Linked DNA regions of Saccharomyces cerevisiae S288C. The protein of the gene in region 1 interacts with the protein of each later gene in a biochemical or structural test. Each region holds a gene or a part of one and is shown in the gene's direction. Other genes may lie near its edges.

The links. Proteins that work in one complex are often made in the same cells at the same time.
Region 2: the proteins of CBF5 (region 1) and NAF1 form a complex in vitro, tested with the Saccharomyces cerevisiae proteins (2 studies listed by BioGRID).

The regions. Positions count from the first base shown.
Region 1 is NC_001144.5:504,298-508,143, forward strand, and holds CBF5 (pseudouridine synthase CBF5), read left to right. Parts: upstream 1-1,836; coding exon 1,837-3,288; downstream 3,289-3,846. Other genes in the region: isocitrate dehydrogenase (NADP(+)) IDP2, read left to right, coding at 294-1,532; RFX1 (Rfx1p), read right to left, coding at 3,500-3,846. UniProt on the Saccharomyces cerevisiae protein: Catalytic subunit of H/ACA small nucleolar ribonucleoprotein (H/ACA snoRNP) complex, which catalyzes pseudouridylation of rRNA. This involves the isomerization of uridine such that the ribose is subsequently attached to C5, instead of the normal N1.
Region 2 is NC_001146.8:390,889-394,870, forward strand, and holds NAF1 (RNA-binding snoRNP assembly protein), read left to right. Parts: upstream 1-2,003; coding exon 2,004-3,482; downstream 3,483-3,982. Other genes in the region: ESBP6 (Esbp6p), read right to left, coding at 1-1,279; NMA111 (Nma111p), read left to right, coding at 3,797-3,982. UniProt on the Saccharomyces cerevisiae protein: RNA-binding protein required for the maturation of box H/ACA snoRNPs complex and ribosome biogenesis.

The DNA.
Region 1 (3,846 bases):
GAAAATCGGCAAATAAGGAAATAAGGGAAGAATATGCAGTAGTCAAATCATCAGTGTTCTCTTTGATACCTTTCAGGGCTAGGAATAGTGGGGGTGGAGTATAATATCAAAAACCGGACTTAACATTATTGGTTCGGTTGGAATTGGCTATAGGCAAACTAGTCTCCGGCATGATATATAAATGACAGCCTGCAATTGTATGTTACTACACTCTTGACTTGTCGACTACAGTCGCTGCTCAGGCACGAGAATAGGAGGTAAGAAGGTAACGTACGTATATATATAAAATCGTAATGACAAAGATTAAGGTAGCTAACCCCATTGTGGAAATGGACGGCGATGAGCAAACAAGAATAATCTGGCATTTAATCAGGGACAAGTTAGTCTTGCCCTATCTTGACGTTGATTTGAAGTACTACGATCTTTCCGTGGAGTATCGTGACCAGACTAATGATCAAGTAACTGTGGATTCTGCCACCGCGACTTTAAAGTATGGAGTAGCTGTCAAATGCGCGACTATTACACCCGATGAGGCAAGGGTCGAGGAATTTCATTTGAAAAAGATGTGGAAATCTCCAAATGGTACTATTAGAAACATTTTGGGTGGTACAGTGTTCAGAGAACCTATTATTATCCCTAGAATTCCAAGGCTAGTTCCTCAATGGGAGAAGCCCATCATCATTGGGAGACACGCATTCGGCGATCAGTACAAAGCTACCGATGTAATAGTCCCTGAAGAAGGCGAGTTGAGGCTTGTTTATAAATCCAAGAGCGGAACTCATGATGTAGATCTGAAGGTATTTGACTACCCAGAACATGGTGGGGTTGCCATGATGATGTACAACACTACAGATTCGATCGAAGGGTTTGCGAAGGCCTCCTTTGAATTGGCCATTGAAAGGAAGTTACCATTATATTCCACTACTAAGAATACTATTTTGAAGAAGTATGATGGTAAATTCAAAGATGTTTTCGAAGCCATGTATGCTAGAAGTTATAAAGAGAAGTTTGAATCCCTTGGCATCTGGTACGAGCACCGTTTAATTGATGATATGGTGGCCCAAATGTTGAAATCTAAAGGTGGATACATAATTGCCATGAAAAATTACGACGGTGACGTAGAATCAGATATTGTTGCACAAGGATTTGGCTCCTTGGGGTTAATGACATCTGTGTTGATTACCCCGGACGGTAAAACCTTTGAAAGCGAAGCCGCCCACGGTACAGTAACAAGACATTTTAGACAGCATCAGCAAGGAAAGGAGACGTCAACAAATTCCATTGCATCAATTTTCGCGTGGACTAGAGGTATTATTCAAAGGGGTAAACTTGATAATACTCCAGATGTAGTTAAGTTCGGCCAAATATTGGAAAGCGCTACGGTAAATACAGTGCAAGAAGATGGAATCATGACTAAAGATTTGGCGCTCATTCTCGGTAAGTCTGAAAGATCCGCTTATGTCACTACCGAGGAGTTCATTGACGCGGTGGAATCTAGATTGAAAAAAGAGTTCGAGGCAGCTGCATTGTAAACTTACTCAATGACAGATTGATTTATTTATATTATATATTCCCTTTTTATCGAAAAACTTTTAGTATTTTCTACTCGTAACATATGATCTTCTGTTCTCACTGAAAATTTTTCTTTCTTCTTTTCCCTCTTCGCAAAAAGAAAATGCTGAAAAAATTTGAAAAATTTTCAAATGATGAGATGTTTAGCTTAGGAAAAATATAATGTAAAGATAGTTTTCAGAACATTTTTTATTGGTTTTTTTTTTTAAAGATTCATTATCATCTGGAGTTCGTTACAACCTACACAGAGGACCGATATACACAATGTCAAAGGAGGATTTCGTTATTAAGCCTGAAGCTGCAGGTGCTTCCACTGACACTAGTGAATGGCCATTACTTTTGAAGAATTTTGATAAGTTATTAGTCAGAAGTGGTCATTATACCCCTATCCCAGCTGGTAGTTCACCACTAAAGAGAGACCTGAAATCATATATCAGCTCTGGTGTCATTAATCTAGATAAACCTTCCAACCCATCATCGCACGAAGTTGTAGCTTGGATCAAAAGAATCTTACGTTGTGAGAAGACTGGTCACTCTGGTACATTGGATCCAAAAGTTACAGGTTGTTTGATTGTTTGTATTGACAGAGCTACCAGGTTGGTTAAGTCTCAACAAGGTGCTGGTAAGGAGTATGTGTGTATTGTCAGATTGCATGATGCTTTGAAGGATGAAAAGGATTTGGGCCGCTCACTAGAAAACTTGACCGGTGCGCTTTTCCAAAGACCTCCTTTAATCTCTGCTGTTAAGAGACAATTACGTGTTCGTACTATCTATGAGTCAAACTTGATTGAGTTCGATAACAAGAGAAACTTAGGTGTTTTCTGGGCTTCCTGTGAAGCTGGTACTTATATGCGTACTTTGTGTGTTCATTTAGGTATGCTATTAGGTGTTGGTGGTCACATGCAAGAATTGCGTCGTGTTAGATCCGGTGCTCTGTCTGAAAATGACAACATGGTCACTTTACATGATGTTATGGATGCCCAATGGGTTTACGACAATACAAGAGATGAATCTTACTTGAGATCCATTATTCAACCTTTAGAAACTCTATTGGTTGGTTACAAGAGAATTGTAGTGAAGGATTCTGCTGTCAATGCAGTATGTTATGGTGCAAAGTTGATGATCCCTGGTTTATTGCGTTACGAAGAAGGTATTGAGTTATATGACGAAATTGTCTTGATAACTACCAAGGGTGAAGCCATTGCCGTTGCCATCGCACAAATGTCAACCGTTGACTTAGCTTCCTGTGATCATGGTGTTGTTGCTAGTGTGAAGAGATGTATCATGGAAAGAGATTTATACCCAAGAAGATGGGGTTTGGGTCCAGTCGCACAAAAGAAGAAGCAAATGAAGGCAGACGGCAAATTGGATAAATACGGCCGTGTTAACGAAAACACCCCAGAACAATGGAAAAAAGAATATGTTCCATTAGACAATGCTGAACAGTCAACTTCTAGCTCTCAGGAAACTAAGGAAACTGAAGAAGAGCCTAAGAAAGCTAAAGAAGATTCTTTAATCAAAGAAGTCGAAACTGAGAAGGAAGAAGTGAAAGAGGATGACAGCAAAAAGGAAAAGAAAGAGAAGAAGGACAAGAAGGAAAAGAAGGAAAAGAAAGAAAAGAAGGACAAGAAGGAAAAGAAAGAGAAAAAGGAGAAGAAAAGAAAGTCTGAAGACGGTGATTCTGAGGAAAAGAAATCTAAGAAATCTAAGAAATGATTCTCATCACTCCATCTCATCCTATATATTTAACAGCTTTCTTTTTTTCAAAAAACTTTTTCTATTATTAGATTAGATTTTTTTTAGTGTGTATATTAATAACGTAAAATTTCTTTATCAACGACTTGTAGTATTCTTTTACTTTTATTTTTTTTACATATGCAACGTTATATTCTTTTTTAAATATCCCCATATACTAATGATAGAACTTTTAAACTTTTAGGCCATTGACGAATTTCATGACTTCAAAACAGTAGTTCAGCAATTGGCCCATGACATTATTTAGAAACAACCATGATAGCAAATTCTCATTTGATTTTAAGCTAATATCGCCGATTATTGCATTCCTGAATCTTGTGCTGCAATCAATTAATTTCAAGCACGAAAATTTGCTTTGTAGGGAAATAAAGGAACAAAAATCTTTAATCATTTCATTTAAGGACTTGCATTCGATAGACACAGAGGGATCATTGCTAACGCTCATAGAGGAATTTAAGAACTTTGTTACGAAAACTTGACAGAACCCTTGTAAATGTTGCATTATTGTGTTTGTCTCTG
Region 2 (3,982 bases), on another chromosome or scaffold:
ATGGCTTAGTTATAACCTTTAATGAAAACATTGCTTTGAGCTGTTCAAACATGGCCCGAGGCGATTTCAATCCTATGGCAGGTGTAGGGTTTCTTTCTTTTAAGAGCGCAATAGCAACTAGAACACTTATGCTACACGATATGCCTATGATACGAAGGCACCACCGGGTATTTCCAAAGTCAGAAAGCATTTTGTTTGTAGCCAAACCGTAAACGACACCACCAGCACCGGTACCCAATAATGAGACACCCATTGCGACAGCTCTTTTTTTCAAGAACCATCCTGGTAAGACGGTTGTTGCTGGAACGAAAATCAGTGATATTGAACAACCGACCATAAAACCTTGGGTGACATACAATTGCCATAACTTGGTAGTAAAGGAGGCCAAGAGATATGCGGCAAGCATTACAGCATCACCAAAAAGCATGGTGGTCCGCAGACCAATTATTCTCATCAGTGCCATCACAAGGGGGGATAAGAGTTGACCGAGAAAGACAGTTAGGCCAGCAATTAAGGCATAATCGTACTTCGAAGCACCAGGGTAAGTATCATGGTTTAAGTAGTAGGCAAGGTCGACACCGAAGGATGCGTTGCAGCCCCACGTGGAAAACATGGTCAAGAACACACAGAATGTCACGACCCAGCCATAACCACCGTCGGGGGGCAGTTCCAGCTGCCCGGTAGACTTGTTGGTGAATACTTTTTTTACAGTCGGTTCATCAGGCTCGAATTCGGTTATTCCTTGGGCCTCAAGATCCTTACCGGAGTGTTTCGTGGAAGCCGGATATAGTCTATTCCTCATGAGTTTGGAGTCCATGGAAGCTTTATGTTCTGTAGTATCATTTTGAATAGAAGAAGCAGAGAAAGCAGAGGAAGATGGTGCCGACAACGAGGCGCCTGCAGTCGTGGTGTGTGTGACTGGGATGTTTAACTTTGACTGGACTGACTCATTGTGCTGTAGCCTAATGGCATCGGCCACGTCAAATCTAGATTCTAATATTTTATTAACGTCTGCGGAATTTTCTTCCGTCTGCAAGTTGTCGTCATCGACAGCCTTTTTAATGTCGTTGAGCCGATTAGTTAACGTCCTACTAATAGACAATTTTCTCGATGCATCGTTCGACTTGGTGCTGTGTAGATCAGAGCATGGAACCGGAGCAGCAATAGAAGCCTTAGAGAATGATACAGGCTGTGAAGAGTTTATCGAAGAAACCTCGGACGATGTCTCAGAGACCATTCCGGAAGAAGCAGAAAAGTAGTCGTTTGAGTGCGTTGACATTTTTCAGATTTATTTTCAGAAGCCCCGTAATTATACCTAAAGAAAAAGTAAAGAAAAGTGGAGAAAACAAAAGAAAAAGATAAAACTTTTAAATATGTGGTGTGACAAATGCAAAATACTATTCTGACTCGCACATTTAACTAACAAAAGAAAATTTGTCTAAGTCTAGCAGCTTTGGTAGAATATAGAAGAAACAGTCTAGTTTTGGCTCCGATATGAGTGGACAAAGCATCAAGATCTAAGGAATGCCAAGTATTTATCCAGGTTCTCCCGAAGACTTTTCTTCAATAGCGGCGGGGGTTTTTTTTTTTTGCAGATTGCCGAGATAGCCCGCGGCAAAGATACGTTATCTCGGTTATCGTCGGCAAGCGCTATTGTAACTAGATATAGGAAACTGTGGTCTGCAAAGATGCGGTATAAGGCCTCCGTCTGTTCTTACTGCGTTATCAGCCTTTGACAGTTTTAGTTCGTCAGGGTCTTTGACCAAATGATAAATTCCCTGGTTTACATTTTCACTAGTTTGTTCTCGAGCAATGCTTAGTTGGCACATAAATGAGTCAGGCACTACCACTCGGGTAACGGTCTGCGCGTTTCTTTTTGCGGCCATGAAATTTTTCAGGCGATGAGCTTAAAGGTAAAGGAAAAAGATGGTAGGATGATAGGTAGGATGAAGCGGTATGAAAGTGGAAGAAGCACAATATAGCACGTCGAAACAGTGCTAATCATGAGCGATGACTTGTTTTCTAAGGCTTTGGAGAATCCCGACCAGGACTTGAACGTGGAATTGCCCAAGGATGATGTTGATTTAGGTCTTTTAGGTGATGGTGGGAACGAGAGGAAGACCGATGAACCGGTAGCAGACGCAGAAAGATCAACAGGCCTAGGATCCGGCTCTTCTGAATCCGAATCAGATTCCGGTTCTGATTCTGATTCTGATTCTGGCTCTTCAGGTAGTGAGGATGATTCTGCAGATCAGGACGTTGAAGGAGAGGACGAAGGTGGTGACGCGATTGAAAATGAAGACGAAGACGAAGACCCTTCACCTTCCGGTCCTATACTATCGAAGAACGAAATACTAGAGGAAACTGTTCCTGAACTACCGGAAGATTATGAAATTTCAGAAAAAACGATCATCACTCCTATTGGTGTTTTGAAGTCTGCATTTGAAAATAATATAATCATTCACGCCACGATGTCGGGCGAAAAGCGTGTTTTAAAAGAGGGTTCCATTTTCTGTCTCGAGGATAGAACTTTGATCGGGATGTTGACGGAGGTGTTTGGACCCTTGCAAAACCCATTTTATAGAATTAAGTTGCCCGATTCAAAAAAAAACTTATTCGATGAATTAAAAGTGCGTTTGGGTGAGAAAGCCTTTATAGTCACCCCTGATGCCCACTGGATAGATACTTTCGAGTTAAAGCGCAACAAAGGTACTGATGCGTCTAATGGGTACGATGAAGAATTACCTGAAGAGGAACAAGAATTTTCCGACGACGAAAAAGAGGCCCTTTTCAAGAAAATGAAGAAACAGCAACGGCAACGAAAGAAAAGGGACAACCGCAAACTAGCCAACGATAGTGACAATGTCAAGGTAAAGAGAGCTCGGCAGCCCAAGGCCAACAGTTTACCTAAACTGGTACCGCCGTTGGGCATGAGCAGTAATGCTCCGATGCAACATGGGTACAAATCAAGAAACGCACGTGAAAATATCAAGCGTGAATCCAGTGCTACCTCTAATCGGAATGGCTCCTCCCCAGTGCCAATCACACAGCACCACCAACAACAGTTTTCTGCAAATAATTATCCCTTCCCTCAACAACCAAACGGTATGCCTTATCCACCATACTCACCTTTCCCTCAGCCGACTAACTTCCAGTATCCACCTCCACCATTTGGGCAGGCGACACCGGCCCAATTCTCCAACACTGTTCCATATGGTAGCTTACCTCCCGCATACAACAATATGTCGCCGCCAACACAGCAGTCGTTCATGCCAATGACCCAAAGTCAACCGCCACTTCCATATGGCGTACCTCCCATGAATCAAATGCAAAACCCAATGTACATCCAACCGCCACCTCAAGCACCTCCTCAGGGAAATGGTAATTTCCAACAAGTAATGGAATTACATCAAATACTTTTGCAGCAACAGCAACAGCAACACCAGTATCAGCATCAGCATCAGCAAGATCCAAGAACCTAGAGTCACGATTGAAATATTTAATAATAAATGCTATGTATCATAGATAAACTAGAAAGAGGCAAGAAAAATTTAACAAGTTTCTTAATTGAATATTATTTTACTGTCACTACCATTATTAGACGCCATCTCAGCGTGTGACATGATAATTTTTCTTTTTTTCTTTTTTTTTCCTCAAGGCGATGATATGAAACTTTCAAAAAATTTATATGTAAATAAAAAAGTTCTACGAGGGTTTAAATACGGAAGTTTATTTAGAAGATATTTATACTCTGAATACACACGTAGAGTACAGTAAAGGTTTTTTAGATCTACTAATGACCATATCGTTGAGCAATATAAAGAAAAGAGACCATTCTAAAATTTCCGATGGAACTTCTGGTGAATCATCGCTTGTAAAAAGGAAACAGTTGGAAAGCGCCACCGGAGATCAAGAGGAAGAATATACAGACCATGAAATCATTATAGAGCCGTTGCACTTTGCTAATAATAATAACACTGTA